Linked DNA regions of Rhinolophus ferrumequinum. The protein of the gene in region 3 purifies or fractionates together with the protein of the main gene of each other region. This does not show direct contact. Links are inferred from orthologs where the notes say so. Each region holds a gene or a part of one and is shown on either strand. Other genes may lie near its edges.

Region 1 (10,025 bases), on a different chromosome or scaffold from region 3:
CATACACTGCAACTATTTGACAAATACCTCCAGAGACTAAAGCTCACTTTTCTCGGGGAAAAAAAAAAGTTGGACAGGGGAGACATACTTGCCTCAAAACTGCAGAATAGCCATAAAGCATTTTTAAAATCTTACCTTAAAGAGCTTATGTCCCTAAGTCATCTTTACTGTCCAGTCCTGAGACACCAACGACAGGTGATTTTGTTTCTACTTGCTAGCTAGCTTTAAAACCCAACTAAACTCTAATTTTAGAGCTAAGGACCAATTCTAGGCAGAACTACAATAGACATTTTCAGGTGCGTGGCTCAACGTCAAGGATTTTTATTTTTATTTTTGCCTCTGGGCTGGCCATGTTGCTTAGGTTTGCTAGCCTCTGTTATATGCAAAAACCTCAGGCCAGAGACAAAAGAACTGCTGCGAAGTCCCCACAGCGCTCTCCACTGGGCTCTCAAGGTCGCCTTCGATGGAGAGGGACGGCCTTCAGCACCTTACAGGTCTGTCACGGCACACAGATCAGATGACTCGCTCTCAGGAGGGGCTTATCTAGAAGAGTCTTAACAACTGGCAAAACTCTGCACCCTCTAAGTATCTCACTTTTCAGGATCAAGTGAGTTTCATTTTCAGTGGCATCGAAAGTCTAAAATTAAATTTGGTTACTAAGAAAACAGAAGTTGTATTTGAAGGCAGTTGAAACACATGTAATCCCAAAGTGCTGCAGAAGTCTAGGCTCCCTGCAGGCTTCTTCCAAGTAGTTAGTGCTAACAATCAGTCTGATGACAGTTCAAGGATGCCAGGTTCATGCCTGAGGACTCTGCTCTGGAGGCTAACACTGCAATGACGGTGAAAATGAACTGTCACAATCCCACGGCAGGGCGTCCTTACTCTTTTGAGGTTCAAGACCATTTTACAATGTAGAACAGAGACCCTTCCCAACACACACACACATACGCTGCCTCACACAGGTCTATGTATAATGTTAGGGACGCATATCAATTACAAGAGCGCCTTAGCCTCCCCTGGGGGCTGCAGCCCAAATATCATGAAGTGACCTGATCTCTCAATAGCTTGGCCTGACTGGAAAGAGTATCGCTACGTACAAGACAGAAGTATACGGTAATAGCAAATTGATGTGCAAGGTCTTAGGGAGGACAGAATACCTCTTAGGGGCAAAAAAGCAAGGAAGGAATCTGCCAAGAACAGTTAGGAAGTAAAGATTCACCCTATTCCCTGCCTGCCCCTGCCCGGCGGGGTACACTCAGGCAGCCAGCAACCGTCTAGCCAGCCCGTGCGGGGGCCCAGGAACCGCACCACTCCGGGGCCCTGAAGGACTGATCGCCCAGAGATTTTTTTAAAGTATTACATGAGAAGATCCAAACAGTCACAAATCCCCCGTTTACATGGTTCCTGTCAAAAAACAGTAGCCTCCTGTTAACAGTGGATTTTAAAAATAAAACAGCCCCTTGAATATCAACCTGAAACTTTTGATTCCAGGTTTAGATGTTTAAGATAAAGAGTACTTTTATAGGAAAACTATCTGAAATCAAGTGGGCTGTGCACTGTTTGGGGCTGCAGGACTTTCTGGGCAGCTGAGGATTTGATTAGTTTCTGGTCACCACACAAAAGGGAACCTCTTTATATGCCCTGCCTTCCAAATAGGGTGAGGCAGGGGCTTACCTATGATTCGGAGAGCAGCACTAATAGAGAGGCCAGCCGCCATTTATCCTATTGCGATGGTCAGTTTTGTGAGCATTTTCTGAGCACCTTCTCTGGGGTATGCCTATACTAGATTTTGGAGTTAGAAAGACTAAAACTTTTGGCACCACCTCAAGAAGCTTATAATCTGCTTTAAAAGAGGCCTGGGTAAAGCGCTAAAGAAAGAAATTTTGGGAGACCCCAGCAAAGGAGAAAAAGCATCTCTTGGGGAATTCTGAAGAGTAGCTAGGTTGCCCAGCTCCATCATTGGGGCTTCTTTCTGCCACACTCTCCATGGCTCTCGCCCCGGGATCCAGATACCAGGCTCTTACAGGCACGGCCTCATATCAAGCCTTGCAAAATAGGGAACAGCTATGATGTGTGGACATTACTCCATCTACATTCCAATCAGCAAGTAAGTTGGAGAGATCGAACGAGACTGGTCAGGCCCTAACCTGCTGGGTGAAGAATGAGTTAATGTTACCAGCAAGACTTTTTAATAAGTGGGAAACTAGCCAACATTTTCTTTACAAATCAAGCAAGAAGCTCAAAACAATGTTCCTAGAGGAAATGAAGAGGTTGAGTTTATGTGTTACTCCACCAACAATGCATAATTTATCACACTGAGTTGTTATCTAGGTATAAAAAGGTTTAGACCAATTACAGAAAAATAAAAATGAAAGGGTTTAGATCTTTGGGTAAACAAGCATTCAGGAAACAATATTTACTCTAATAAATCATCATAAACACGGGCTGTTAACTTTGTACCATTTCAAAAGCACTTGGAAATCCTGTTTACCTTTTTCATTAATTCACTTCTGGTAGTAAACTGTGGCAGGTCTTCCACTTCAATCCCATCAGCCATTTCCATCACCTTATCTAAAAGGTCTTTGTTGTAACTGCATAATAAAAAGTAGTAAGGTTAAAAACCTTAGAAAAATTACCTGTCAGTATGGGGCTAACAAATTGCAGGCAATGGGACTATAAACTCAATTCTTAGAGGACTGATTTGATACCACAGGACAAACCAATGCATGTTCAGCAGCAGGTAGTTAACAGTTCTTCCTGTTGGGGGATACAGAAGTGGCTCCAGGAATGCCAACAGAGCAGGTGTTTCAAATTTACAAAACAAACAAAAAAGATTTACAAAAATAGAGGCACCATACATCTGGCAGTACATATTCGTGGATATGGTATGAGGGCCAAAAAAATTACTTTTTGAACACATGGAGTGTTGGTCTAATGAAAATAACATTATTTGTTCATTGATCCAATTTTCTGACATTTGCCAAATCTTGGATCCTGTTAATCAGGATTTCCCAGGGCCACCGAGAAAGCATAGAAAAGGGATGGATATGACTGGCACTGCTTCATTGGCACAAATCTTGTTCTAATAACCCTCAACATCTGCAAGCTAAACCAAGTGGCTTAGGGCAAGAGGGGCCATGTGACCAGAGTCACACAGACCTAAGGAGCACCGAAGCCAGGACTAGCCCGAGTCATTTTATCCTAACACAATTTCAGGAAACGCTAAAATAAAAAGATGTGGGAACCTCGAGATTTTCCACCTTCTTCATGGTGGGATAAAGGAGGGTGCGAGGCATCTTGTTATTATTTTCGTAAGAGGAAAGGCAGTGAGGCAAAGGCTGGCTCTTGCTCAGGGTCCAGAAGCCAGGGGAATGGGGAGAAAAAGGCTAGGGCCACAGATTACATCCAGATATAAATGGTAAAATTAACCAATCCTGCCAGAAGCCTCAAGGTCCTAGGAAGGTCACCTCCCCTTGTCTCAGTTTCTTCATATGTAAATTGGGGCATCCCAGTTTCGGTCGGTTTCTGTCTCTGCATTTGCCAGTGAAAGGAGCTAATGGACTCAAAATGCACTCTGCAAAGGTGGTTAGAGCTATTACTGGCAATATAAATAACAATGGTAACTTTAGCGCCCAGCACAGGTGGAGCTCTGGCCAGATGGCAGCCTGTACTGAGTGCTTTTCACCCTTTAATATTGCAGTCATCACAACTCATTTTCCAAGTGAGGAAACTGAGGGTTTGTTGGCTAGGGTGGGAATCGGCCGGAGGCCTGGCCACTGCGGCTGGAGGTTGGGGGCAGGGTCACGCCTGAGCGAGGGCGACGGATCGGAAGGCAGGGGACAGGGTCAGCCAGCGGCGGTGGTCCGCACCTGCAACCCAAGAAGAGGTGGTTGGCCCAGACCATGGAGAGGGACAGCAGCTGGTCCAGGCGGCCGCCTCCGTCGGGCGGGTCTCGGTAGTCGGGCAGGTGGCGCAGGATGAATTCCATGCGGGCCTTCCATTGCTTCTCGCTCTCCGAGTAAGAACGGAACTGCTCGGCGAAGTCGGTCGCCTGCCGCACGCCCGAAACCAGCTCCTCCACCGCGGCAGCCGCCTCGCCACCCACCATGGCGCCCTCCGCCGCCGAGGGCCGGCCGCTCCCGCTGCCTTCCCGACAGGCACTGCGTCACCTCCCAGCGGCTAGAGGGGCCCCGGCGGCCGCGACTGCTCCAGAGAATCGGCCTGGAGCGCCCTCGCCGGGCGCGGCGGCCTGACCCGCCCGACCCCTCGGACCTCCGCGGCCAGTGGCTGCAGGGCACAGGGGCCGTTCTCGGTCCACCCCCGCGGGGAACCGCTAGGAAACCTGAGGCCCCCCAGCGCAGAATCGGGGTGCCGCTCTCCCATTCGGCAGCTGGACGCCAACCAGAGCTGTGCTGTGTCCTTGCCCTGGGGGTTCCCTGGGTACCCAGCCGGCAGTTGAATTTCCTCTGTTTTCAGGACTTACATGTGTAGCTGCTCTGGGTCTGTCTTTGATTCCCAGAGGTCTCGACACCCCACCCAGGTTGTGACCCACCTTCGTGGAGTGAGTCATCCATCGAATTAAATACCTGCCAGGCCCTTTGCCAGGTGCTGGGGTTGCAATGAGAGCAAACTCAGAGCCCTGCTCTAATGAACTTTACCATCTACTGAGGGAGGCAAACATTAGTGAAATACCTAGTGCTCAAGTGAAAATTTTCACCGTTGACACATTTTAATAAGGAAAGGACCAGAGTGCTAGAAGCATGAATAAACAATGGACGTGGCCCAGACTCCAGAGTCATGGAAATGATGCTGGAGAGCTGAGGGATGAACAGGAGTTAACTACATAAAGAGGAGGAGGCCATGGAAAGAGAGCCTGGCCTGGTAAGAGAACTGCAACCAGGGTCCTAGAATAGGGTACAGTGGAGAAGATAATGCTGCAAAGGTCAAGGACAGTAGGCCATGATAGGGACTGTGGTCTAGATTCTAAGAAGAATGGGGAGCCACTGAAGGATTTTAACCAGAGCAGTGGCACATGTTTCCAAAAGATGTTGGAAGGAGCCAGAATGGATGTGTCCAGAGGAGATGAGCAGGTGAGCTGGCAGGACTCCACTGTCTCTCCTAGGGTCAGGTCACAAACTCCCTGAGAGACAAAAGTGCCATTGTAAGTGGTGAATTTCCCTTCCCTGGAACCATTCAAGTCCAGTAACAGGAAAATCACCTGAGCCTCTATTAATCTTGAGAGCTTATTGACCTAACAGGCTTCCCAATCATTACCTATTAGATATGGGGTGGGGTACAGAGCCCGGCCTAGCGTCCAGGATCTGGGGCTCCAGTGTAGGCCCTATGTTGTGAGTGGGGCCCAGAGGCAGAGCCAACTATGTGCCCTCTGCTGCTTCTGCAGCTTCTCATGGGATGTCAGGGCCCCCAGCAGGCAGAAACCCCAGAGAGAATGGAAATACCTGCAGACCCAGCCCTGGGCTCAGGGACATCCCATTATGGTTAACAAAAGGGAGTCATGCAATTCTCATCCTGGTGAGCAGGGAGAAAGTGAACAGGGCTGTGAAACCACATACAGACTCATCTTCTCTACAAAAGTCAGGAATATGTGCCCAGAGCAGGGGCTCCCCAAATTAAGTACAAATCACATCTCCTGAGGGGCTTGTTAAAATAGCAGATTCCCTAGGCCCATCACTGGTTGCTCAGAGTCAAGGCCTTAGGTAATTGATTCCACCTGTGGCTCACCAAACTTTGAAAAACACTTAATGTTGATAAGGGTTCTCTGCACCAAATTATTGGTCTCCTGATTGTACCATGGAAATAGGAACCTGGGCTTTGTAATCAGCAGCTGCAGTTATACAGCTAACTTGGCCACAGGGGTGTGAAAAAGCTAAGGGGTCATCCAGCACAAGTAGCTTGTTTAGAATCATCTTTGACAATGACAGGATAAGCATATATGTACCTACATACAAACAGACTGAGACATGCATGCAGATTATAAGAATACCAAAATGTACAAACAGGTATTTTTTAAAATTATATGACATTGTTAGCATTGTACTTTCAAAATGTGAAGTAGTCTAAAAATGTCAGTATTAACATTTTACAGGACCCTGTGTCAAGTTCAATTACTGCTCAGTTTATTGTTTCTAACTTGTATTTGTGATTCAGATATTCTTAGAATGGAGTGCTTACTTATATAGACAAAGATCAGTTTTCCTACTTTATTTTTTAAAGCATCTTTATTGAGATTCAATTCACATACTATAAAATTCACCCATTTAAGGTATATAATTCAGTGATTTTAGTGTAGTCACAGATTTCTGTAACTATCAACACAAATATAGAACATTTTCATCACCCTAAAAAGAAAGTCCGTACCCTTTAGCAGTCACTCCCCTTTACTCCCAGCCCCAGGCGACAACTATTATATTTGTCTCTATGAATTTTCTACTATGCACATTTAACACAGGTGGAATCATATAATATGTGGTCTTTTATGACTGACTTTCACTTACATAATGTTTTTAAGGTTTATCCATGTTGTAGTGTGTCAGTTCTTCATTGCTTTTCATGGTTGAATAATATTCCATTGCATGGATATACCACTATTTGTGTATTGATACGTCAGTTGCTGGACATTTCGGTTGTTTCTACATTTTGGCTATTATGAATAATGCTGCTGTGAACATTCACGTACAAGTTATTCTGTAAACATATTTTCAACTTTCTTGGATATATAGTGGATTGCTGGGTATATGTTCAACTTTTTGAGGAACTTACAGATTGTTTTCCACAGTGTCGACGCCATTCTACATTCCCGCGAGCAATGCTTGAAGGTTCCAATCCAATTTCTCCACACCCTTGTCAACACATTATTTTCCCCTTTTTTGAGTGTAGCCATCTTAGTGGGTACAAAGTGTGCTCTCACTGTGTTTTTGTTTTGTATTTTCCTAATGATGTTGAGCATCTTTCATATGCTTTTTGGCCATTTGTATATCTTCTTTGCAGAAATGTCTATTCAGACCCCTTGCCCTTTAAAAAAAAATAGACTTTATTTATTTAGAGCAGTTGTAGGTATATAGCAAAATTGAGTGGAAAATACAGATAGTTTCCGTATGCCTCACCACCACCAACACACACACACACACACACACACACACACACAGCCTCCCCCACTATCAGCTTCTCACACCAGAGCAGTATAGTTGTTACACTGACACATCATCATCCAAAATCTATACTTTACATTAGGGTTCGCTCTTGGCGGTGTACATTCTATGGTTGTTTTTTTTTTTTTTTTCATTCTATAGATTTTGACAAATGTATAACAACATGTATCCACCATTTTAGTAACATAGAGAATAGTTTGACTGCCCTAACAATCCTAATTGTCTTTAGAAGAACAAAAGTTTTTATTTTGATGAAATCCAATTTATTTTTTCTTTTACGAGTCATGCTTTTTGGTCCTATCTAAGAAATCTTTTGTCTAACCCCATGACATAAAGATTTCTTGTTTTCTTCTGAAAATTTTATAGTGTTAGGTTTTACATTTAGGTCTATGCTTCATTTCAAGTAAATTTTTGTATATGATGCAAGGTATGGGTTGTCAAGAGCGATAAAGGATATAAAATTTTACCCTACTTGCAAGCTAACAAATTACCCTGCCAGTTTCAATGGATGCTGGCAGGAAACATAAGCTTCCTAAGACAGAAACAAAGAACTTTATTTACTTATAGCACAGCAAGCGGCATGAGCTTCATGTTTCCATTGGTTCCCCTTGTCCCTAAGGTCCCACAGGGTGGATGAAGTACAAACAGGTACACACAGTGAGTTTGTGTCACAGCTGAAGAACCCCAAGCTTAGGGAACTTCAATCTTTTATAAAGGACTGCAAGCAAACCTGCCCAATCTTTGCCCCAGAGCAATCCATTTTTATCTGGACAGTAAACAAACTTGCCCTTTTGCTCTAGAGGTTGCCACTATCTCCAGGCTGTTTTGTGGATACACATCCTTGAAAAGACAGTTTGGAGCAAAAGGGGAGTTAGTGTCTAACTTAGATCGTAAGGTATGCAGATACGTGAGAGACCCATGGGCAATTGTCTCCCAACATAAGTTAAGATTCTTTATTTTGTGGGCAGACGATTGTCTAATTGGTCTAGTGCAATTTGTTGAAAAGACTATATCCTTTTTCCATTCAGTTACCTTGCTACCTTTGTCAAAAATCAATTGACCATATATGTGTGTCTATTTCTGGACCTATTCTGTTCTATTGATTTATGTGTCTATCCTTTTAGCAGTATCATACTCTCTTGATTACTGTAGCTCAAGAGTTAGCAAACTTGTTCTGTAAAGGGTGGGCTACATATAATCTCTGTTGCATACTTTTCTTTATTTCTTTTTTCAACCATTTAAAAATGTACGAAGCCATTTTTAGCTTGTAGGCTTTGCAAAAACAGGCTTCAGGCTAGATTTGGCTGATGGGCCATAGTTTACCAACTCAGCCTATGTAGCTTTCTAGTAAGTCTTGAGGTCAGATTGTTTTGAGTCCTCCAACTATGTTGTTTTACAAAATTGTTTTGGTTATTTTAGTCTATTGCTTTTCAATACAAAATTTAGCATTAGTTTGCCAATTTCTAGAAAAACAGAGTGCTGGGATTTTAATTGGGATTGTATTGAATCTATAGATCAATTTGGGGAAGAATTAACATTTAACAATATTGAATTATCCAATCTATAATCATGGTATATCTCTCTACTTATTCAGGTCTTGTTGTGGTATATTTTTAAATTAGATGAACCATTAGACTTATACACATATTTACCACTTTATTTGTTCTTCATTACTTCTCTATCTTTTACCTTGCATCTGTTTTCATTTTCCTTCTACCTGAAAATTTTGTTAGCATTTTCTTTAGTACAGGTCTGCCAGTGGCATGCTCACTTTTTGTCAATCTGAAAATGACTTTATTTTGCCTTCTGTATTAGTTACATGGCTGCATAACAAATTACTCCAAAACTTCGTGACTTAAAACAACAAACTCTTATTATCTCACAGTTTCTGTGAATTAAGAATGCAGGAGGGGCTTAGCTGGCTGGTTCTGGCTCAGGGTCTCTGATGGGGTTTCGGTACATTGTTGACTGATGCTTCATGTATGTGAAGGCTTGTTTAGGGCTAGCGGAGCCACCTCCAAGATGGCTCCCTCATATGACTGTTTGCCACCGGTCTCAGTTTCTTACTATATGGACCTCTCCACAGGGCTGTTTGAGTGTCCTCACCTGGCAGGGGGTCTTCCTTTACAGTAAGTGAACCAACAAAGAGCAAGGCAGAAACCACTATGTCTTTCATGATAGGGACTCATACGTAACATACCATCACTTCTAATTTACTCTATGCATTAGAAGTCAGTCACTAAGTCCAGTACACACTCAGGGGCAAGAGATTTAGGTTCCACATTTTGAATGGAGTGTCAAATGAATATAGTTCAAAACCACCACACCTTCTTGTCTTTCTTTTCTCTTCTTTTTTCCTCGTCTGCTTCCATTTCCTCCTCTTTCTGCTTTTCCTCTTTCCTCCACCTCCTAAGATTATGTTCTAGAACATTCCTCATTAATTCTTTTGGGCCTGGAAACCTTAAGAGAATTTTAGAGAATACTCTAAAAAATAATACAGAATGTTTCTCTTCAGTTCTTTTACCACTAATAGTTTTCTCATGTCTACATTGTATTGGTTACTAACTCTAACATACACATTAATGTCTCTAGTATTTTCCTGTTAAGCAAGCTGTTGCTTTTCTGCTGAGAAAAAACCATTTTTTTCATTTTCAGGAAGTATCCATTAATTCCCATTTTATTAAATGTCTTGTTTTTGATCAAGAGTAAGTATTTAATTTTATCAAATGCATTTTCAGTATTTATGAAGATACTCATATGATTTTTCATTTAGAACTATTAATATGATGGTTTATTTATATTAGTAGATTTTCTAATATTGGACCTTTTTTCCATCCTTAGAATAAACTCCATGTG
Region 2 (9,976 bases), on a different chromosome or scaffold from region 3:
ACAGAATTCCTTGAAACTATGATGTCATAAGGGAATTGAAGTAATTCTCTAATGATTTTTTTAGAAATGGGTAGATTACATCTCCTCTCTGAACCACAATGCTCTCATATGTTCTCTGTCTTTCAAGACAACCAAAAGTGACACGAGGTCCAGAGCCACTGAGACAACAACAGTGCCCACTTTGGGCAGCGGGTCAGGCCGACACTTCAAGCTCCTGTCGTCATTCAAAGCTGAAGCCTTCAGCAAGTGTCTGATGCCGCTCCCGTGTCTACTGAAAAGAGCAATCATATTTTTCCCCACAATAACGAGCAAAGTCACGGCCATGGAGGTAATATGTTTTTTTTCCCTTTCTATTTCCTAGTTCTAGTTTCATACGGCAGGGATAAAAGGAGCATTCTGATCCTCTTAAGCTCTAGCTTGGAAAAATAAATAAATGTGAATAAAAATTCGCCGCTCTCTTCGCTCTGTATCAAAGCCCTGTGGAATCAATTTTACCACACCAAGCCCTGCTGAAATCAATGGAGTAAGCTCCTGAATTCATTTCCATGGGACTTGACATTGTAAAAATAATTGGATTGCGTTGCACTCTAACACTCTTTTCAGGAAAGAGAGAAAATGTGCCTTCGCTAGTAGGTGGGGGTGAAAACTCATCTGAGGGCTGGTAGGCTTCACCCTGTGTTTTCGGTATTGTCTTGTCAGGAGGAGCTATTATCAACTCCCAGATGAGCCTGGCAGTACTACCCTCAATGAGGTGTTTAAGACTGCCTTCCCTAGTGAGAATGAAAACACTTCTTTTGTTCCCATCTTTAAAATTAACTGCATAGTATTACCACCACCAATGAGGTGTTTAACATCAAAATTGCCTTCCCTGGTGAGAAGAAAAACACTTACTTTGTTTCCTTCTTTAAAATTAATTGAGGTTTTTGAAAACATCCTATTCAACCAACAGTTGTACAGAAGATAGGGGCTTTAAAATATTGCTTTTGGTAGCCCATCAAAGGTTTTTCAGCACATATTCTTTTTGTTTAGACCACTTGCTGAACACTTTTCTGACCCTCTGCTTTATTTTTCCATTTTATTTTATAACATTCGTATCACTGGTGTGAACCAGTGAGAACCAGCAGAACTGCTGGTCAGGCAAGTTTTACCATGTTTCCCCGAAAATAAGACTTAGCCCGACAATCAGCTCTAATGCGTCTTTTGGAGCAAAAATTAACATAAGACCCAGTCCTCTTTTACTATAAAATAAGACAGGGTCTTATATAATATATAATGTAATAATATAAAAAATATAATACCAGGTATAATACCAGGTATAATGTAATACCAGGTATAATATAATAGTGGCTCTTATATTAATGTTTGCTCCAAAAGACGCATTAGAGCTGATCGTCCGGCTAGGTCTTATTTTCGGGGAAACACGGTAATTGGAGGACCTTGGAACTTGGCCATTTTTATGGTAAAGGAGCATCAACCCCAGATCTTCCCAGACAATGGGCACCCTTGCTTCTGAAAGGGTTCCAGAGTTCAAGTTCTAGTTATACCCTGGTTCTTTGGTTCCATGTGTGAGGAGGGGTTGAGACTTTGGTTCCAGGTACAGCTGGAGGTCAAAGCTTTCAGCTCTGCACATGCTTCAGCTGCATGACAATACAATTTTGGTCTGCTGTCTCTGAAAAGCAACTCAGCATCTCGTTAAACAGGATAGGACCATTTTGAGCTGGTTCTGCTGTTACATAATCATATACTTATGTACAGGAGCCCTAAGTACAACGAAAGACAAATTTCCTATCCTTCCTGCTCCTAGCTTCCAAATTGCCCAATAATTAAATGGATTATTGATGTCGTAATCTTAGTGCCTGGATTTAAGTTTTAGCTCAGTTCCTATTTCTTTTGCAGCCACTACACCTTGTGAGTGAATCAATATTGCTGATTAAACTGCAAGGAGCAAAATGTGAGAGGAGACAAAATTCTAGACCATAAGTCAGTAGACTACATTCCTTGGTTTCATATTCTTGCTCTTCCATTAAACAATTGACCTTAGGCAATCACTTAACTGCTCTGATCTCAGCTTCCTCATCTACAAAATAGTCTTAAAGTCCCCTTCCAGCTCTAACTTTCCATGATTCTGAAGAGCCAGGATCAAGTTGTTTATGGGAACTTAAACTGTACTTACTTCTCCAAACAGTAACTCTTCTCTAATCTCTATCTGTATCTCTCTCCTAGATTTAAATATCCCACATTCTGGGATGCACAGGTGAAGAGTTTCACGAAGGAATGGGGAAGTTACATATAATAGTGTCTTATCTTGTTGGCATTAGGAAGAACATGAAGAGTAAAGATGAAATTGTTTGTAGGAAGGCTTTTTATGTGACTATATAAAGAAATATAAGTGCTATAAAAAGATTTATCACTTTGGCTAAAAATGTGGAAAAAAAGAAATCCTGATTAACAGCCTCTCCCACAGGAGAATTGTCTTGTGTCATTTGAAACTGCTTACTATGATACCTTAAAATCTTTTCCAGTATTTGGTGACTTTTCTGTTCACATGGCTGTTATCTCCATTTCCTTGAGTGTAACTTCTTCGCTTTATTGAGTTTGTTATTTTCCTTGCATGATATTGACCCTATTCAGATTTTTTGTTATTCTTAGGGTGAACACATGACTCAGACCTGTACAATCAGAATACTTCATACCCCTGGCTAGAAAGCTTATTTAAGGGATACATATATGATCCAACAGAATCAGTGGACTTTTTTAAATTTTATTAAATTTATTGAGGTAACACTGGTTAATAAAATTATAAAGGTTTCAAGTGTACAATTCTATATCATCTGTATGTTGCATTGTGTGTTCACCACCCAGTCAAATCTCTTTCTGTCACCATATATTTGACTCCCTTATCCTTTTCTACCTCCCTCCCTCTCGCTTTCCTTCTGGTAACCATAACCACTATACTGTTATCTGAGTTTCTTGTTTGTTTGCTTGTTTCGTCCATTTGTTGCTTTCAGTTTTATATCCCAAAAATGAGTGAAGTCATATGAGAACCAACGGATTCTTAACAGAACCTTAGGACATTGGCAGAAACTCAAGAAAAATAAATTTTGTTTCTACTGTGGTTGCTGAGCTATGGAGGACATTTGCCATGGGCTACTAGGAATCACCTTGCCACTATGTAGGAAGAGCTTGCTGGAGACTGAAGCTAACACAGAGAAAGCAAAGTCTAGAGATGAAGAGAAACAGACTTCCTGATTACAGTATATTGTCTGGGCACTTGGATCCCACAGTCTACTCCCTGGACTGTCAATAACACAGCCAATAAATTCCCTCTTTAAGCAAAAGCCATTTTAAATCGTCACTTGCAACTGAAATTAATCAAACTAGCATTTGAGAACCTATCAAGTCCATAGTTCTCTACTTCTTTACATCAGTAGATGTCCAAGAAGGTTTTCTAAAATTGAGGTAATCACTACGCCACAGGAAAAGAAGGTACAGGCATAACTCTGAGATACTGGTTTGGTTCCAGACCACCGCAATAAAACAAATGTTGCAATAAAGCAAGTCACATGAACCTTTTGGTTTCCCAGTGCATATAAAAGTTATGCACTATACTGTAGTCTATTAAGTGTACAATAGCATCATGTCTAATAAAAATGTACATACCTTAATTAAAAAATACTTTATTGCTAAAAAAATGCTAACCATCAGTTGAGCCTTCAGTGAGTCGTAATCTTTTTGCTAGCAGAGGGTCTTGCCTCAATGATTAAAATGCAGTATCTGCAAAGTACAATAAAGCAAAGTGCAATAAAATGAGGTGAGTCTATAAAGTGGAATTGTATCTTTCATTTACATGATTTTAGAAACAAACCCCATGAAAGATATAACTTCATAATCTTATTTACTTCTCACAGCAGCAAACATATTGACAGTGATTAATGTTAAGGCTTAATTTAAAACAAAATCGTCCAGGCAGAGCCAACACTTCCCTCCTCAACTCCACCCCACTCACCACTCCCCACTCCCATTGATTTTTCACAATTTCTCCTCTCACCTTTTCTGTCTGAATCCCTCCAACCCAGAAAGAAATTAAGGTATTTGTCTTTTTTTTTTTTAATAAATACTCTTCTTCTCTATGTGGTCTGAGGTCTATACCCTAAATCTTCACATACAAAGTTAACTTTATACGAGTCAAAGATAAAAATACACATATCTTTTCTGTCAGGCACCTAGGTCTTGCAAATAAGTACTCCAGTTTTCAGACCATATTGCTATTATCATACTTTAAAAAATGATTTTGAGGGGCGGCTGGTTAGCTTAGTTGGTTAGAGCACAGTGATCTTAACAACAAGGTTGCAGGTTTGATCCCCGGGTGGGCCACTGTGAGCTGCACCCTCCACAACTAGATTGGAACAACTACTTGACTTGGAGCTGATGGGTCCTGGAAAAACACACTTAAAATCATAATCATAATTTTGAAATTCAGGCTCTATTTACTCTCCTTTCAGGACAATGAAGCCCAGGAGTGGAAGGCTACAATGCAACAAGAAAAAAAGTCAGAAAATTCTTGGTTTAAAATGCACAAATATCATCTAGGTAGGTAATCAGATTCTTTTACTTGCCATCTCCCCCTTGCCAAAGAATTCGTGAAAGACCATAAAATTTGTTCGGTCTTTTAAATTGCCGGATTTCTGTACCCTTTCACTCTCCTCTACAATTTTTCAGCAATTTTCCCTGAAAAGGAGAAGAGAGAAACTAGAAACAAAACCCCAAACTTCAAAATTTCTTTATGCCTATGTTTTTATGCAGTTTCATTGGCATTGCAGGAAAGTGGGCAGTATTATTTTCACATAATACATTTTTATTGTTACAGCACGTATATAAATTACATGGCTTCGTTTCTTAATCTTATTAAAGTGACCTTTTTTCTTGATTATTCTGATTCAAGCATTTTAAAATCAAAATCGTTAGAGAAAAAATTCCATTTCGTAATTTATCATTATTTATCACTTATTTTAGCTTACTAAATTGTATTAAACTTCAATCATACATACACCTGAAATTGGAAACAAAACAATAACCAAGCCGGCAGTATTATGTGTGCACATTCTAAAGCGGAAAAAAAAATGCAAGGAAAAAATAGTTCAGAGGTAAAGGTTTGGGGCGATGAAGATAAACAGGTCCTTTTCCACGCCGCCTCTCCTGGCTATTTGTCCAGTTGGGCATTATTGTTAATTCAAGGAAATGCGACAGATACAGAACGTCCTGGGCGCGGTGTTGTTACTGACCAAACACCACCAGAGAAGCAGCAGGGATTGCCGGGGTTGCACTGCGGAAACGAAACCCAACCCGACTCTGCGGGGTAACGAGTTTTAAAAGACTGGGCACCGCAGGGCAACATTGAATTGGATTAATCGTTAAACTTCATTATCTGTATTATTATTACTATTCATTATTACTACTATTATCACGCACCCCCTCTTATATGCCGAGAGACGTGAACGGCCTCAGAAAGCTTCACTGGTCTACATTCAAACACAGCGCTTGAAGCTGTTTTCCGACGCAAAAGATGGAGGCGAGCTTTTGTTTATTTTGGCTCAATTCAAAACAAGCGTTGGGGCGAGAACGCACTGTCCTCGCCTCAGCTCGGAGAGGACGCGCCGCGGCTGCCGACGAGGGTTTTGCCCGTCCTGACCCAGCTGCGGGGAGTCCCACGGCTCCCCGCCGTTTCGTCGGGCCTCCTGCGCCACGACTCACGGCGCTGCAGCGGGCCCGGGAGGCGGAGGGCGACGGCAGCAGCGCGCCCGGCGTCACAGACTCGAACTGGAACGTTCGCATTCCCGCCGAGGCCCGGAGCGCCCCGGGAACCCACTCGCGGCCCGCCCTGATGGGGCGGGAGGCGCAAGCACCTCCTCCTTTCCTTCCCGTCCCCTCCCCCGGAGGACGCCCCCCCGCCGCCGCCTGTCGGGGCCGCAGCGTCGCGGCTGCTCGGGCGCCGCAAAGCGACCTGGGAGAGCCGCGCCGGAAGAACGCGGGGGCGCTGGGCGGCGGCGAGGTTATAAAAGGGAAGGAGCCGGCGGCGGGCGGAAGTGGGCGGTTCAGCTGCTCGGGGCGCTGTTGTTTAGGTCTTGGGCCTCCCGAGGGGCGTCTTCTGGAGGGCCGCCGGTGCAGGCCGCAGTGACAGAGCCGCTCGCCCCGCGCACCCGCCTCTTCCCCGGTGCAGTGTCTGCTCGCAGCCTCCGCGACCTGCAGGCACAACATGGCGCAGGAGGTGTCGGAGTACCTGAGCCAGAACCCGCGGGTGGCCTCCTGGGTGGAAGCGCTGCGCAGCGACGGCGAGACTGACAAACACTGGCGCCACCGCCGAGAGTTTCTGCTCCGTAACGCCGGGGACCTGGCCCCCACTGGCGGCGCTGACTCCGCTAATACGGAGGAAGCTGCTGACGCCGAGAGCGGGACCCGCAATAGGCAGCTGCAGCAGCTCATCTCCTTTTCCATGGCCTGGGCCAACCACATCTTCCTCGGGTGCCGGTGAGTGAGGAAGCGTCCCTAAGCACCTCTCCGGGTTTTGTCTTCAGCCCCGGGACTACGGGCTCGGAACACTCCCAGGGAGGGGAAGTTGTGAAGCGCGGGAATCGTGGGACCGGCTGCCCTCTAAGGGTGAGGAGGGCGTCTCTACCGGAAGCCGACATGATTTACAGTCTGTTGGTGCCCCCCTTGGGTGGGGGGGCTGCTGGTGGAGTTGACGTCTGACAACGCTCTTGTGGGTGGACACTACATTTATGGTGGGTAAGGCGGGACCCCGCTCCCAGATGCTGGTGCATTTGTTTCTGGGGTTCCAGGAAACAAAGTTCCTGGCGGTTGGTACACTTTCTTGGTTACAACCAGGAAATGCAGTTTCTGGCCTGTTTTCTCATACCAAAAGTAGTAGCTTAGGGAAAAACACTTTAAAAATGGCTTTTCCTTCTTTTTCAGGTATCCTCAAAAAGTTATGGATAAAATACTTAGTATGGCCGAAGGCATCAAAGTGACAGATGCTCCAATCCATACAACAAGAGACGAACTGGTTGCCAAGGTGAAGAAAAGAGGGATATCAAGTAGCAATGGTTAGCAGATCATAGATGTGAACATACATAGGAGTTTAGAATATAAGTTTGATATAATTAGGAATTATTGTTACTACTAATTTTTTAACGAGCTGGAATTTATGTAATGTTATTAATCAAGTTGGAATGTTGAACCTAAATTATGTGTCTGTGTTTTAGCCTCTGAATTTAACAGTTTCCTTTAACTGCTTTTGCTTTTGAAGTATCAAATGTTGTGTATGCTGTTGATTTTTTAATATTAGAAATTAACGATGTTGTTCAATGCTGTTTTAAGAGATTAATGAAGTTATTCCACACTTTTTAAAGAAACTACTAGTCCTGAAATATTTTTGCCTTGTGCCTTTATTTTAATGAATGTCTGTCTTGTAAATTTTCAGCTAATATGTATGAGGTAGACTTAGTTATGTATCTGTTTTTCTTCTTTTTAGAAGGGGTAGAAGAGCCAACGAAAAAACGAGTTATAGAAGGAAAAAACAATTCTGCAGTTGAGCAAGAGCATGCAAAAAATTCTGCCAAAACAGAACGTGCATCAGCTCAGCAGGAAAACAGCTCAGCATGTACAGGGTCGTCTACCAAATTAGAGAGTAGTGGGAACTCTACTCGGAGCTCTGGCACCTCGAGTCAGAATAGTTCTACAAGTGATGGAGATCGATCCGTTTCCAACCAAAACAGCAGCAGCGTTTCCTCTCAGGTAACAACAGCAGGATCTGGAAAAGCTTCTGAATCCGAAGCCCCAGATAAACACGGTTCAGCATTATTTGTTTCTTCATTGTTGAAATCCAGTATGAATAGTCATGTGAGCCAGTCCACTGATTCCAAACAACAAAGTGGATCACCTAAAAGTGCTTTGGAAGGCTCTTCAGTCTCAGCTTCTCCAAGCATCTCAGAGATTGAGGTGCCCTTGTTGGGCTCCTCAGGAAGCTCAGAAGTAGAGTTGCCACTGTTGTCTTCTAAACCTAGTTCAGAGACAACTTCAAGTGGGTTAACTTCCAAAACCAGTTCAGAGGCAAGTCTTTCATCATTGGTTTCTAAAAACAGTTCCTCATCAGGCACATCCTTACTAACTCCCAAGAGCAGCACATCAGCAAATACACCAATGCTGACATCCAAAAGCACTTCGCAGGTAGCTGCATCACTGTTAGCTTCCAAGAGCAGCTCCCAGACCAGTGGATCTCTGGTTTCCAAAAGCACTTCCTTAGCAAGTGTGTCCCAGCTGGCGTCTAAGGGTAGTTCTCAATCTAGCACATCCCAGTTGCCTTCTAAAAGTACTTCCCAGTCAAGTGAGAGTTCTGTCAAATTCACTTGTTGCAAGTTAACCAATGAAGATGTGAAACAGAAGCAACCTTTTTTTAATAGACTGTATAAAACAGTAGCATGGAAGTTGGTAGCTGTTGGTGGCTTTAGTCCCAATGTGAATCACGGAGAGCTCCTGAATGCAGCTATCGAGGCTCTGAAAGCAACACTGGATGTGTTTTTTGTCCCACTAAAAGAACTGGCAGATCTGCCTCAAAATAAGAGCTCTCAAGAAAGTATTGTTTGTGAATTGAGATGCAAGTCTGTGTATTTGGGCACTGGCTGTGGGAAAAGCAAAGAAAATGCAAAAGCAGTTGCATCAAGAGAAGCACTGAAGCTATTTCTCAAGAAAAAGGTGGTAGTAAAAATATGTAAAAGGAAATATAGAGGGAGTGAAATAGAAGACCTAGTACTCCTTGATGAAGAATCAAGGCCTGTAAACTTACCTCCAGCATTAAAACATCCTCAAGAATTACTATAATAACGTGCAAAATATCACTCATACAATATCTGATATTTGAAGAGAAAAACTGGCTTTTGTATAATATAAACAGGCTTTCACAAATTTTGTATTGCTTTTTTCCAGTTTTGCAGAAAATTTACATTCTAGTCCTCTTCACAGAGTAGAAGTTGTAAATAATTTATGAATGACAGTACACATTAAAAGATAGGCATTACCAGCATAGCAGTATGCTGTTTTATTTGCTGAAGAAAATACTGTCTTCTATTTTTAATGATACATTAGGTACGATGTGTAGTTCTGTAGAGTCTTAAAACTTTTGTACTATCGATTTGGTAAAAATGTATTAAGTTGTCTACCATGCTTTTTTTTTTCCTAGTGGAATAAACCACATCAAAAGAAATGGGGACCATAGTATTTGAATATCTGAAAGTCTGTGATACTTAAGGTTTTAAGAATGTTGCCCATAATGTTGAACATGTCTGTTAAAGAATAAAAGAAAAAATAGTTGCCTCAGACTATTTTTATGAGAAGTTGTAAGCATTTTTTAGATGCAAAGCAGTATAAAGTACTTAAGGTTATTTTATTCTGAAGTTGTTTAAAATTCACCATGATTTTGACCACTGCAGATTCTTTAAGTGGGTTAATAATTTATGTTTTGAGGTAAAATACAATTTACACTTTTTCTTAAAAGACATAAATGTGGGTTTCTATATTAAGCATATTTTGTGACTACTGCTATTAACAGATTGATTTGTTTAGATATTAAATGCTTTAAGCTATTTTACCTTTTCAAGAAGTTGTGTTTTTTTTCCCCCCTAATGCAGAACCAATTCCTGCAAATAGGCTTCTTAATACTAGTCATTGTAAATTACAACGAAGTAATTTTTCATACTTTACATACAACTTTTAATGGATAGAGAAGGTATAGTTTGCAAATCAAGACCTAGATGGGGATTTTTGGTTACAAATCTCAGAAGAATGGTGAGCCATGCTCAGCTCTTTAATGAGCCTGCTCAATTGAATTATATTTATGAGTAATGAACTGGAATCCTGTTTTTGTATCTTTGGTGATTCTGATTGCATCACTCTACTGTGGTATATTCTCTTCCATTTTTCTTCA
Region 3 (10,422 bases):
TGTGGGCCAGCACCAGATGTTTAGGCGGGGACACACACACCGATTTGGGTAGGTGCCCACCTGGAGGCACGGGCCGGGCAGCCCAGGAAAGCACGACTAATCCTGGTGTGCCGTGTCTCCCTACTAGCCCTGGAATCGGTCGTGCGACGTCCGTGGCCCATGCATCTGGGGGACGCCCTAGAACAAGTTGTGGGAGATGAATTGCAAAGGGATGCCTTTCTGTTCTTCCTCTCTTCCAGATGGGCAATCAGCCCTCACGCGTCTTCACCCCTCTAAATTGCATCTTGAAACATTGGGACAAATCTGATCCTCAGACTTTGAAGAAGCGGCGTCTGGTTTTCTTTTGCTCCGAGGTTTGGCCTCAATACAAGCTGGAAGATGGGGAAAGTTGGCCTTCTGAGGGAAGTACTAACTATAATACTATAATGCAATTAGATCTATTTTGTAAGCGGGAAGGCAAATGGTCAGAAGTTCCTTATGTATAGGCTTTTTCACCCTAAGGGACAACCCAGATCTCTGTAAGAAATGTAGAGTTGACTTGGCTCTTTTGGCTGTGAGCTCTTGCATCCCTACTCCTAGGGAGACTCTTTTTAAGGAGACTCTCCCTAAGGAGACCCCTCTTAAAGGGACTCCTTCAAAGAAACCCCCAGCGGGATCCTCCTCTCCTGAGGAGGTCCCTTTAATAAACACCCAGTCAAGGGATCATCCCAAAGCTCTATACCCTACTGTTCCTCTGGAGCCGGCTCCTACCCCAGCTCCGTCTTGTTGCGCTACATATCCGGGACCTCCTGTACAAAGGCGCTCCCAACTAAGAACAAATCTCCTTCCCTTACAGGTGATGCCAGGAGAATTTGGGCCTGTCAGGGTTCAAGTCCCTTTCTCCCTACGGGATCTCAGACAAATAAAGGGGGACCTAGGGAAGTTTTCAGATGACCCTGACAAATAAATAAAAGCCTTCCAGAACATAACCCAGGTCTTTGACCTTTCTTGGAAGGATGTTACTTTTAAATCAGACTCTCACTAACTCTGAAAAGCAGGCAGCTTTATAAGCAGCCGAAAAATTTGGGGATGATCAGTTCCTGGAATATCATGATGAACAAACAGAACGAGACCCCACTCTGGAGCGCTTCCGTACAGGAGAGCAAGCAGTACCCGCTACAGATCCACAGTGGGACCCTGATAAAGCTATGGGAAACTAGCAGAGAAAACACATTCTGGCATGCATTTTAGAGGGTCTGAGGAGAACTAGGACTAAGCCCATCAATTATTCCAAACTATCTACCGTTAGCCAGAATTCAGAAGAAAATCCCTCAGCCATGTTAGAAAGACTCAGGGAGGCCCTAATCAAGTTCACTCCTATCGGGCCAGACTCCCTTGAAGCAGAAACCCTTTTAAAGGATAGGTTTATAACTCAGACTGCCCCAGGTATCTGCAGGAAATTACAGAAATTGGCCATTGGTCCCAAAGGCACCTTGGATCAGTTACTCAGGGCAGCCAACATTGTCTTTTACAGTTGGGACCAGGAGGAAGCCCAGGACAAGGAGAGGAGAATAAGAAAAAAGACGGAGGGCTGGCCCAGTGGTTCAGGCAGTTAGAGCTCCGTGCTCCTAACTCTGAAGGCTGCCGGTTTGATTCCCACATGGGCCAGTGGGCTCTCAACCACAAGGTTGCCGGTTCAACTCCTCGAGTCCCGCAAGGGATGGTGGGCTCCGCCCCCTGCAATTAAGATTGAACACAGCACCTTGAGCTGAGCTGCCTCCTGGATGGCTCAGCTGGTTGGAGCACGGGCTCTCAACCACAAGGTTGCCAGTTCGATTCCTTGACTCCCGCAAGGGATGGTGGGCAGCGCCCTCTGCAACTAGCAACGGCAACTGGACCTGGAGCTGAGCTGCGCCCTCCATAACTAAGACTGAAAGGACAACAACTTGACTTGGAAAAAAGTCCTGGAAGTACACACTGTTCCCCAATAAAGTCCTGTTCCCCATCCCCAATAAAATGTTTACAAAAAAAAATAAAGACCCCACTCTATTTCCTCGCCAGAGGCAATACCCTCTAAAACCCGAGGCACAGAAAGGACTAACACCAATCATTACCAGTCTCAAACGACAGGGCCTTCTTAGAGAATGCAGTAGTCCTCGCAACACCCCCATCTTAGGAACTCCAAAATCCAATGGAGAATGGAGATTAGTTCAAGATCTCTGAGTCATCGAGTTAGTTATTCCTCTACTCTCTACAGTTGCAAATCCTTACACGCTCTTAGCCCAAATATGTGCCAGATGGTTCCCAGTTTTAGACTTAAAAGATGGCTTCTAATGCTTACCTGTACCCTCTGACTCACTATATCTCTTTGCCTTTGAGGACCCTGAAAGCCAGACTTCACAGCTCACCTGGACGGTCCTTCCCCAAAGGTTTAGACACAGTCCCCACCTCTTTGGACAGGCCCTCTCTAAGGACCTGTCAGACTTTTCTTATGACAGTTGCACGCTCTTACAATACGTCGATGATCTCTTATTATGTGCTCCATCTGAAGACCTCATCAGCCGGAGCACCATTGCTCTTCTGAATTTTTTAGCCTCTAAGGGCTACAAGATTTCCAAGGTCAATGCCCAGATACGTCAGACTGCCTGTCAATATCTTAGGCTAATTACCTCTAAAGGGACTAGGGCCTCGAGAGAAGACAGGCTCCGTTCCATCTCCATGTATCCCCTACCTAACCCTTAAACAACTAAGGCCCTTCCTAGGCATCACCGGCTACTGCTGCCTATGGATCCCAGGATACGGAGAAATGGCCCGTCCTCTCTATCAATTGATTAAAGACACTCAGACTGCAAATACCCAGCTGCTACTTTGGAGCTGAAGCAGAACACGCTTTCAGCCTTTTAAAACAGGCTCTTTTAAGCGCCCCAGCTTTAAGTCTGCCAACAGAAAAATCCTTTCACTTATATGTAACAGAGACAAAAGGAATGGCTTTAGGAGTCTTAACACAGCCCAAGGGACCCTCATAACAACCTGTGGGCTATTTAAGGAACTAGACCTTGTGGTGCTAGGCTGGCCAGCTTGCCCTCAGGCAGTAGCAGCAGCTCTTCTTCTGGTCCCCGACAACCAAACTTAAAATGAAACAAGAGTTAGGATAGGTCAGAGAAACAGTTCTTGAAAACAGAGCTGCCACAGACTACCTACTCCTTAAACATAATCAAGGATGCGAACATTTTAAAAGATTATGCTGTTTCAATCTTTCTGATAATTCTCAGCTAATTGAGGATAAAGTTCAACAAATTCATAACATAGTTTCCAACATTAAATAGCGGACAGGATTTTTTGGCGTTGATCTATCCTTTCTTATTTCCTGGCTTCCTAGCTTGATGGGATTTAAAGAAGTTTTTCTAATTTTTCTTTTGTTCACTATTATAGAAATTACTTCATGCTGTTCCCTATAGTGTATCCTAGCTTGCAGACCAGCCCTCCGGTGGCTATGATGGCTGAGAAACAACGCTGCCCCCATTTGAAATCGCCCATCTACCGGGGTCCTTCAGAGAGACCTCTGGACCAGCCCTACCTGCCGGTCTCTCTACGCCCCTCCTCAGCCTGAAGTAGCCAGAGCAGTCATCACCCCCATGCCCTAACGGCAGTTAGGATTTTATCTTCAGAGGGGGAATTGAGACAGGTTAGTTAGTATGACATCAGGCAGTCAGAGACTCCTTGGTAGACTGAGCAAAAACAGAATAAAAACAGAACACAGGGCAACTATACCAAGACAACCGCACCAGGACAAAAATGTCATCAATCATACTCTGGGACAAATGGGTTTGTTTCCATGGTCTCCCCCCAAGCTGAGCAGTAGAGCTAGTCTGGGAAATACTGTATCCATAGACACCCACATCCCAACATCCCCCACCCAGGCAGAAATAAAGGTATATAAACACAAGCTTTTTGCCTTAGCTAGTGGGCATCCCATCTTCAGGTCCTCCTCCCGCTCGGGAGCTGTAACTCTGCTTACTATAATAAACTATCTTACTGTGCCACTCTTTGCCTCTCCTTGATCCGTGTGTCCATTCTTCGGCTCCACGAGACTACGAACCCCGGCATTCACTAAGCAACATCCTACATCAGGAAGAGGGATTTAGCTGTACTTACTCACTGAACCAGGGACTTAAATCTACTTCTCTCATTGCAGACTAGCAAGTCCATTCTTACCTTTCAGTTTTCAATCATCTGGGAAGGACTACCTTACTTTCCTTATGGTTTGAAGTTCAAAAATGCTGGGCAAGGGCTGTCATGGCCCAACTTGTCCAGTTGTCCATCCCTGTATCAATCGACTATGGTGTGTTTGCTCCAATAAAAACATAGCACCTACCAGGGGAACCAAATACTTGATGAAGAGGGACTATTTCCAGGAGAAACGAGGGAGTTCACCAAAGACATAATATTCTGGAATAGTTTTCACTATCCTTAAGTAAAATATGGGCTAACCATTTCTCTAATTGTCACGGCAGTTTAAACAAAGTGGCATCAGACCACAGAGGAGAGGGCAATGAATATTGCATGTCAGGTAGCCCAGAGAAATACTTTCATAGAGACCTGTTGAAGTGAGTTTTTAGGACTGAGTGTGATTTATCAAGCCAAGAGAGGATTCCAGAGAGAAAGGCTTCCAGCCTTGAGCAAATGGACATAAACACTTCTTCTTCCAGACTTTTTACATGCTGAAAAAAATATATTTGAAGCCATCAGAAAACAAAAGATGTAAGTATGCTTTTAGGGCCAGGACAGAGGATTAAATGATCTTTCCTTGGACTGAACCACACGCAGTGTGAACAAGCAAATGTCTTAACCCCTCTACAACTTGGCTTTCTCATCTGTTATGTGAAGATGGTAATAGCCCCCTCAGAAGGCGCAAGTGACGATTAAATAAGATAATCCTTTAGCTAATGCTTTAGCACATTGTAAGCGCTCAAATAAATGGAGACTGAAATCAGCAATTATTTTATACTCATAAGTGTAGCTAGAAGGTTGAATTAGATGCTAAACACCGGCTAGATTCCATCTAATAACTCAGGTGAGTTACTTATGTAAACCAGCCATCATTAGTACAAAACACTCCTTTTGAACGTACTGTAGCACGAAACCAGGAAACAGAAATAACGAGTTAGTTTAAATGCCTTGATTCTACTCTGAATTGAGATGGGTGAGAAAGAGGTAATCAAACCCGCTAGGAAGAGGTCCCCCAGAAGGCTGCGGAGCGCGGAGATTCCGTCCCAGGGGAGCCCGAGGACTGGGGAAGCGAGACCCCGGGGGAGACGTGGCGAGCGTGAGCTCGACCTCGGGCTCGGGGAACGACGCCACCAAGAGCGAACGTACCACGCAACGCAGGCCGCAGCCCTAACCACACGCTACACCGCCGAACCCCACCTCCGACAACAAGTTCGGCCGCGCCTGGCCCCGCCCCGCTCGGTCGCGGGCGGACGTAGCCGGTTTTGAGACTCTTTCCCGGCTTCCCCAGCGGTGGTACCGCGACATCACTTCCTGTCGCTGGCGCGCACGTGGGAGGAAGTGCCGGTGCCCGCTACCGCCGCTCCTGCCTGTTTCTCAGGTTACGTTCGTCCGCGGACCCGGCTGCTGCTTCCAGCTGGACCGCCGCTATGGGAGTCCCGGCGTTCTTTCGCTGGCTCAGCCGCAAATACCCGTCCATCATTGTCAACTGCGTGGAAGAGAAGGTGAGGGGCAGAGCCTGGACTGCCAAGCTCTGAAACGACGAGAGCCCCTGCTTGCCTAGGCCGCGGCCCTCCGGGCCAGCTGCCTGCCCTAGGGCGCGGTGCCCGTCTGCGCCGCTCTGTCGGCCTCGCGGACAGCCGCGGTCCGACGCGCGGTGAGGCGCCGGCATTCTCCTTCGGGGTTCCCGGACAGCGGCCTGGGCGGGGCTAGGGCCGAGCGGGACTGAACTGCACGGGAGGCACTCCTCCCCTGCCCGCTTTTTCCCGGACCGGAAGGCCCCGCCCACGGCTTTGTTTCCTCCGGGCACCGCGCAGTTTGGGTTTCGAAAGAGGTTGGGAGGTTGTTGGGCCGCACTCCGCTGTTCCGTTCAGTTAACTAGTTCGGGTTGCGCGGATGCTGATCCCAGCCTTTAACAACCTTGTAAAGTAACTCGGCGGCGAGATTTTTGTTGTTTACTGGCCGTACCTGAAAGGTTTTGTCGTAGTGTGAGAGACCGTTTGTTGCTGTAGTTAGATCGTACGGTGAAAGCAGCACTTTAAAAAGTCTAGGGCAAGATAGAAGTCTGATCAGTGCCCCTTCCTTAAGGTTCCCCGACTGCTGGATGGCATGCTCGTTGAAATTTTCAGAATTCCTGCATATACTTGAACGACACTTTCTGTGGTCAGTTTGTTAATGTGTGTGTTGACTTATGGCCATTCTTGAGTTTTGTATTTTTGTATTTTCCATGATTCCGTCCAAGTTCGATTTTGTACTCTTAATTAGAATTTATGGATCGAGAAGGGTAAGGGCCGCATCTTGGCCCCCACCCCTTCGTTTTTTGAAGGAAGTGCCCGTCTGTCGCTGTGAACGGATTTCTTTTGCTTAAGTTGGTTGGTGAGAGACTGATTTTTGTTTTAGTCCCTATCCAAGGAGGGAGGAACCAAAAGCATTGTTTTGATGACATGAGATTTCCTGCGTTTTTCTCAAAGATAAACTGTTTAGCTCAATGCTCGTTTCCTTTGTTTTTAAAACTTTTATCAAACTTTATTAACTTTACTTGAATCTCATCACATTTTTACTCTCCAGTGATAACCACTTTCAACTGTTTTGGTTCTAGCTCTAAATGTCATGCTTATACCTGAGTCCTTGGTTTTGAAACTATCTGTTGAATTCTAGCTGTGTTAAAAGAGGTTTTGGTCATTTAGGCAGCCCCTCCTCCCCTTGCCCGTCCTCCTAATAATAGTAAGTCACATCTTTATTTCTTCTGTTGGTCAACTTTGTAACTTTAAGTAATATGCTTTGTTTAAAAAATTTCCTCTCATATATAAAATATCCTTGATTTTTCACTTTCTGTGGTTAGGTATTATCTTTTCTAGCTCTGCTGCCCTTATTCCTCACCCCAAGCTTGTCAACTGTACTTTTGTCCTGTTGGCATCCAATACTAAATTGTCAGGGCTTTGGCTATACAAGTTTGTTTTAAAAGGTGAAAAATCAAATGGTATTGTTGATTATTGTCATTGTGCAGATGCAGTTTATGTACTGTGATTCTGCTGCTTCTGCTACTTTTGCCTTTTTCTTGGTATTACTGGTCTCTTTACATGACTCCCCTTCCAAACCATGTTCTATCAGATATTCTCTCAAATCCTCTTTTCTTCTTAGAGACTCCTTGAGGTCTTTATTTCTGTTGCTGTCACACCTGGTTGTTTAGGCTTTCTGGAAAGCTGCCTGAGATTTTTGAAAATTCCTTTCCGCAGTTGGAGGTACTGTTTTCTAATCACGATCTTTCTGGGCTTAAATCCTTCCTTGCTTTTTCTTCTCAGTTGAATTCTCAAGAGATGCTGTGTGGGATGTGAGTTTTTTGAGTCCATTCTACGTTCATGTACACATGAACAGTCATTAGCTAGCTAAGCATAGCGTTTGAATTCGAAAATTAGTTTCCCTCAAAAGTTTGGAAGCATTGTTTTTTTTGCTATTATCATCCAGTATTGATGAGAAGTTGAATGTTAATGTGATTGATTTATTTAACCAACACCTAGGTGGTGTTTACCATACACCAGGCACTGTTCTAGGCACTTTACAATTATTAAATCTTTATAACAACCACATGACATTATTATTATTCTTGTGTTATTATTGAGAAAACTGAAACACAGAGGGGTTAAGTAATGTACTCAAGGTCATTCGGCTAATACATGTTAGAGCTAGTGTCAAATCCAGGAAGAACATGCTCTTAATTTCTATGTTCTGATTTCATTCTTTTGTAGTTGATCCGTTTTTCTAATTTTAAAGAGATCTTTATCCTTGGTAGTGTAAGCTTTCATGATTTTGTACTTAAGTGTAGATTTTTAAAATTTAAATTTATTTATTTATTTTTAAAAGATTTTATTAGGGAAGGGGGACAGGACTTTATTGGGGAACAGTGTGTACTTGCAGGACTTTTTCCAAGTCAAGTTGTCCTTTCAATCTTGGTTGTGGAGGGCACAGCTCAGCTCCAGGTCCAGTTGCCGTTGTTAGTTGCAGGGGGTGCAGCCCACCATCCCTTGTGGGAGTCAAGGAATCGAACTGGCAACCTTGTGGTTGAGAGCCCACTGGCCCATGTGGGAATCGAACTTGTCAGCCTTCAGTGTTAGGAGCATGGAGCTCCAACCGCCTGAGCCACCAGGCTGGACCCTAAAATTTGAATTCACTTACATCAATACTTTGCTGACTCTCTGAGTTTGGAGACTTGTCTTCTTCAGTTGTAGGGAATGTTCTTTGATTATTTTATGTATGTTTTACCTCCTTTTTTTCTGCCCTCTCTGAACTCTGGATACTGGTCCTCCTAAATTGATTTATTTTTCTTTTTTCTCTCTGTTCTCTCTCCCCAAACCCACTTCTTTCCCTTTCCCAGCTTTATTGGGGTATAATTGACCTACAATAAACTGCACATATTTAAAGTGTCCAATATAATACATTCGATGTATGTGTATATTCATGAAACCATCACTACAGTCAAGATAATGAATATCACCGGTAAAACATTCATCTTGCCCCTTTCTTATTTCTTCCTAACACCTCTTCCTGCTACCTATCTTTAGTCAACCACTGATTTATTTCTGATTCTATAAATACGTTTTCATTTTCTACAATTTTATGTAAACGGAATTATACTATTTTTAACTGCTTACTTTTCATTCAATTATTTTGAAATTTATCCACATTGTTACATGTATTAATAGTTCATTTCTTTCTATTTGTGAATAGTATTCTATGTTGCACTTATGCGTATATCACATTTCGTTTATTCATTCACCAGATCGACGAAAATTTGAATTGTTTCCCAGTTTTTGGCTATTTTTTTTTTTAAAAACTATGAACATTATTGTACATCTTTGTGTGTACATATGCTTTCATTTCTTTGGAGAAAATACGTAAGCATGAAATGGTTGAATTGTATGGTGTGTGATTATTTAAAAAGAAAAACTTGCCAGATTGTTTTCCGAAGTGGTTGTGTCATTTTACATTGCCCCCAGCAGTGTATTAGAGAGTTCTAGTTGCTCCACTTCCTTGTCAACACTTAGTATGGTTAGTCTTTTTAGTTTAGCCATTCCAGTGTAGTGTTGTGGTTTTACTTACTGTGTTTCCCCGAAAATAAGACCTAGCCAGACAATCAATCAGCTGCAATGCGTCTTTTGGAGCAAAAATTAATATAAGACCCGGTATTATATAAGACCCGGTCTTATAGTAATATATAGTAATTTTTGCTTCAAAAGATGTATTAGAGCTGATTTTCCAGCTAGGTCTTATTTTTGGGGAAACAGTGTAGCAATTCTCTAGTGACAAATGACTTTGAGCATCTTTTGGGATTTTTATTTGCCTTCCATGTATCTTCTTGAGTGAGGTGTCTCTTCAGATCATTTGCCCATTTTTTTTTTCTATGTTCCTTCCCCAATAAATCTTGGCTTCCATCCGACATTAATCACTTTGAAATGGCCTGAGAATTTATTTAATGTCACTCCTTAATCACTTTATTAAATGTCACTGCTCCTAAATGTGAATATTTGCTTTTTATCTCATCTCTGACATCTTCCATAGTTCCTTAATTGGAGAACCCCAACTCTTTTTCAAAAGAATATGAGTTTGTCACTGTGCATCCTATTCGCCATCCTGTGCAGTAAACATCAAATGGTACATTCCGAGATACAGCAGAAAAACCATTCTCTCTGCCATCTCCCATTTGATCTTATTGTTTGAAATCCTATCATAGGAAGTTACTGCTATAAAGTAAGTATGGCCCTCTCCAAAATCCCTCCCTTATAAGGGATACAATGTTTCAACTTTTTTAAAAATTAAATTTATTGGAGTGACAATGGTTAGTAAAATTATATAGGTTGCAAGTATATATTTTTATATACATCATCTATATATTGCATTATGTGCTCACCACCCAGAGTCAGTTCTCCTTCTGTCACCATATATTTGACACCTTTTACCCTCATCTACCACCCTCTCCTCCCCCCTTACTCTCTGGTAACTACTAAACTGTTGTCTGTGTCCATGAGTTTTTGTTTCTTTGTCTTGTTCCTTTGTTGCTTCCAGTTTTATATCCCATGTATGAGTGAAGTCATGTGGTTCTTGACTTTTTCTATCTGATTTATTTCACTTAGCATTAAAATATCAAGATCTGTCCATGTTGTCACAAATGGCAGTATTTCATTTTGTCTTATGCTTTTGCCCATTTTTAAGCTGGGTTTT

The links.
Region 1: the proteins of XRN2 (region 3) and CDKN2AIPNL purify together in Homo sapiens (co-immunoprecipitation; 6 studies listed by BioGRID and IntAct, with this or other methods). This does not show direct contact. The link is inferred for Rhinolophus ferrumequinum from reciprocal best matches to the Homo sapiens genes XRN2 and CDKN2AIPNL.
Region 2: the proteins of XRN2 (region 3) and CDKN2AIP purify together in Homo sapiens (affinity purification with mass spectrometry; 4 studies listed by BioGRID and IntAct, with this or other methods). This does not show direct contact. The link is inferred for Rhinolophus ferrumequinum from reciprocal best matches to the Homo sapiens genes XRN2 and CDKN2AIP.

Annotation. Positions count from the first base shown.
Region 1 is NC_046307.1:10,326,320-10,336,344, forward strand, and holds the start of CDKN2AIPNL (CDKN2AIP N-terminal-like protein), read right to left. Parts: upstream 4,175-10,025; 5' UTR 4,109-4,174; coding exon 3,870-4,108; intron 2,592-3,869; coding exon 2,492-2,591; intron 1-2,491.
Region 2 is NC_046287.1:78,028,433-78,038,408, reverse strand, and holds CDKN2AIP (CDKN2A-interacting protein), read left to right. Parts: upstream 1-6,082; 5' UTR 6,083-6,253; coding exon 6,254-6,525; intron 6,526-6,969; coding exon 6,970-7,100; intron 7,101-7,528; coding exon 7,529-8,874; 3' UTR 8,875-9,645; downstream 9,646-9,976. UniProt on the Homo sapiens protein: Regulates DNA damage response in a dose-dependent manner through a number of signaling pathways involved in cell proliferation, apoptosis and senescence.
Region 3 is NC_046306.1:41,561,785-41,572,206, forward strand, and holds the start of XRN2 (5'-3' exoribonuclease 2), read left to right. Parts: upstream 1-5,532; 5' UTR 5,533-5,636; coding exon 5,637-5,711; intron 5,712-10,422. UniProt on the Homo sapiens protein: Possesses 5'->3' exoribonuclease activity. May promote the termination of transcription by RNA polymerase II.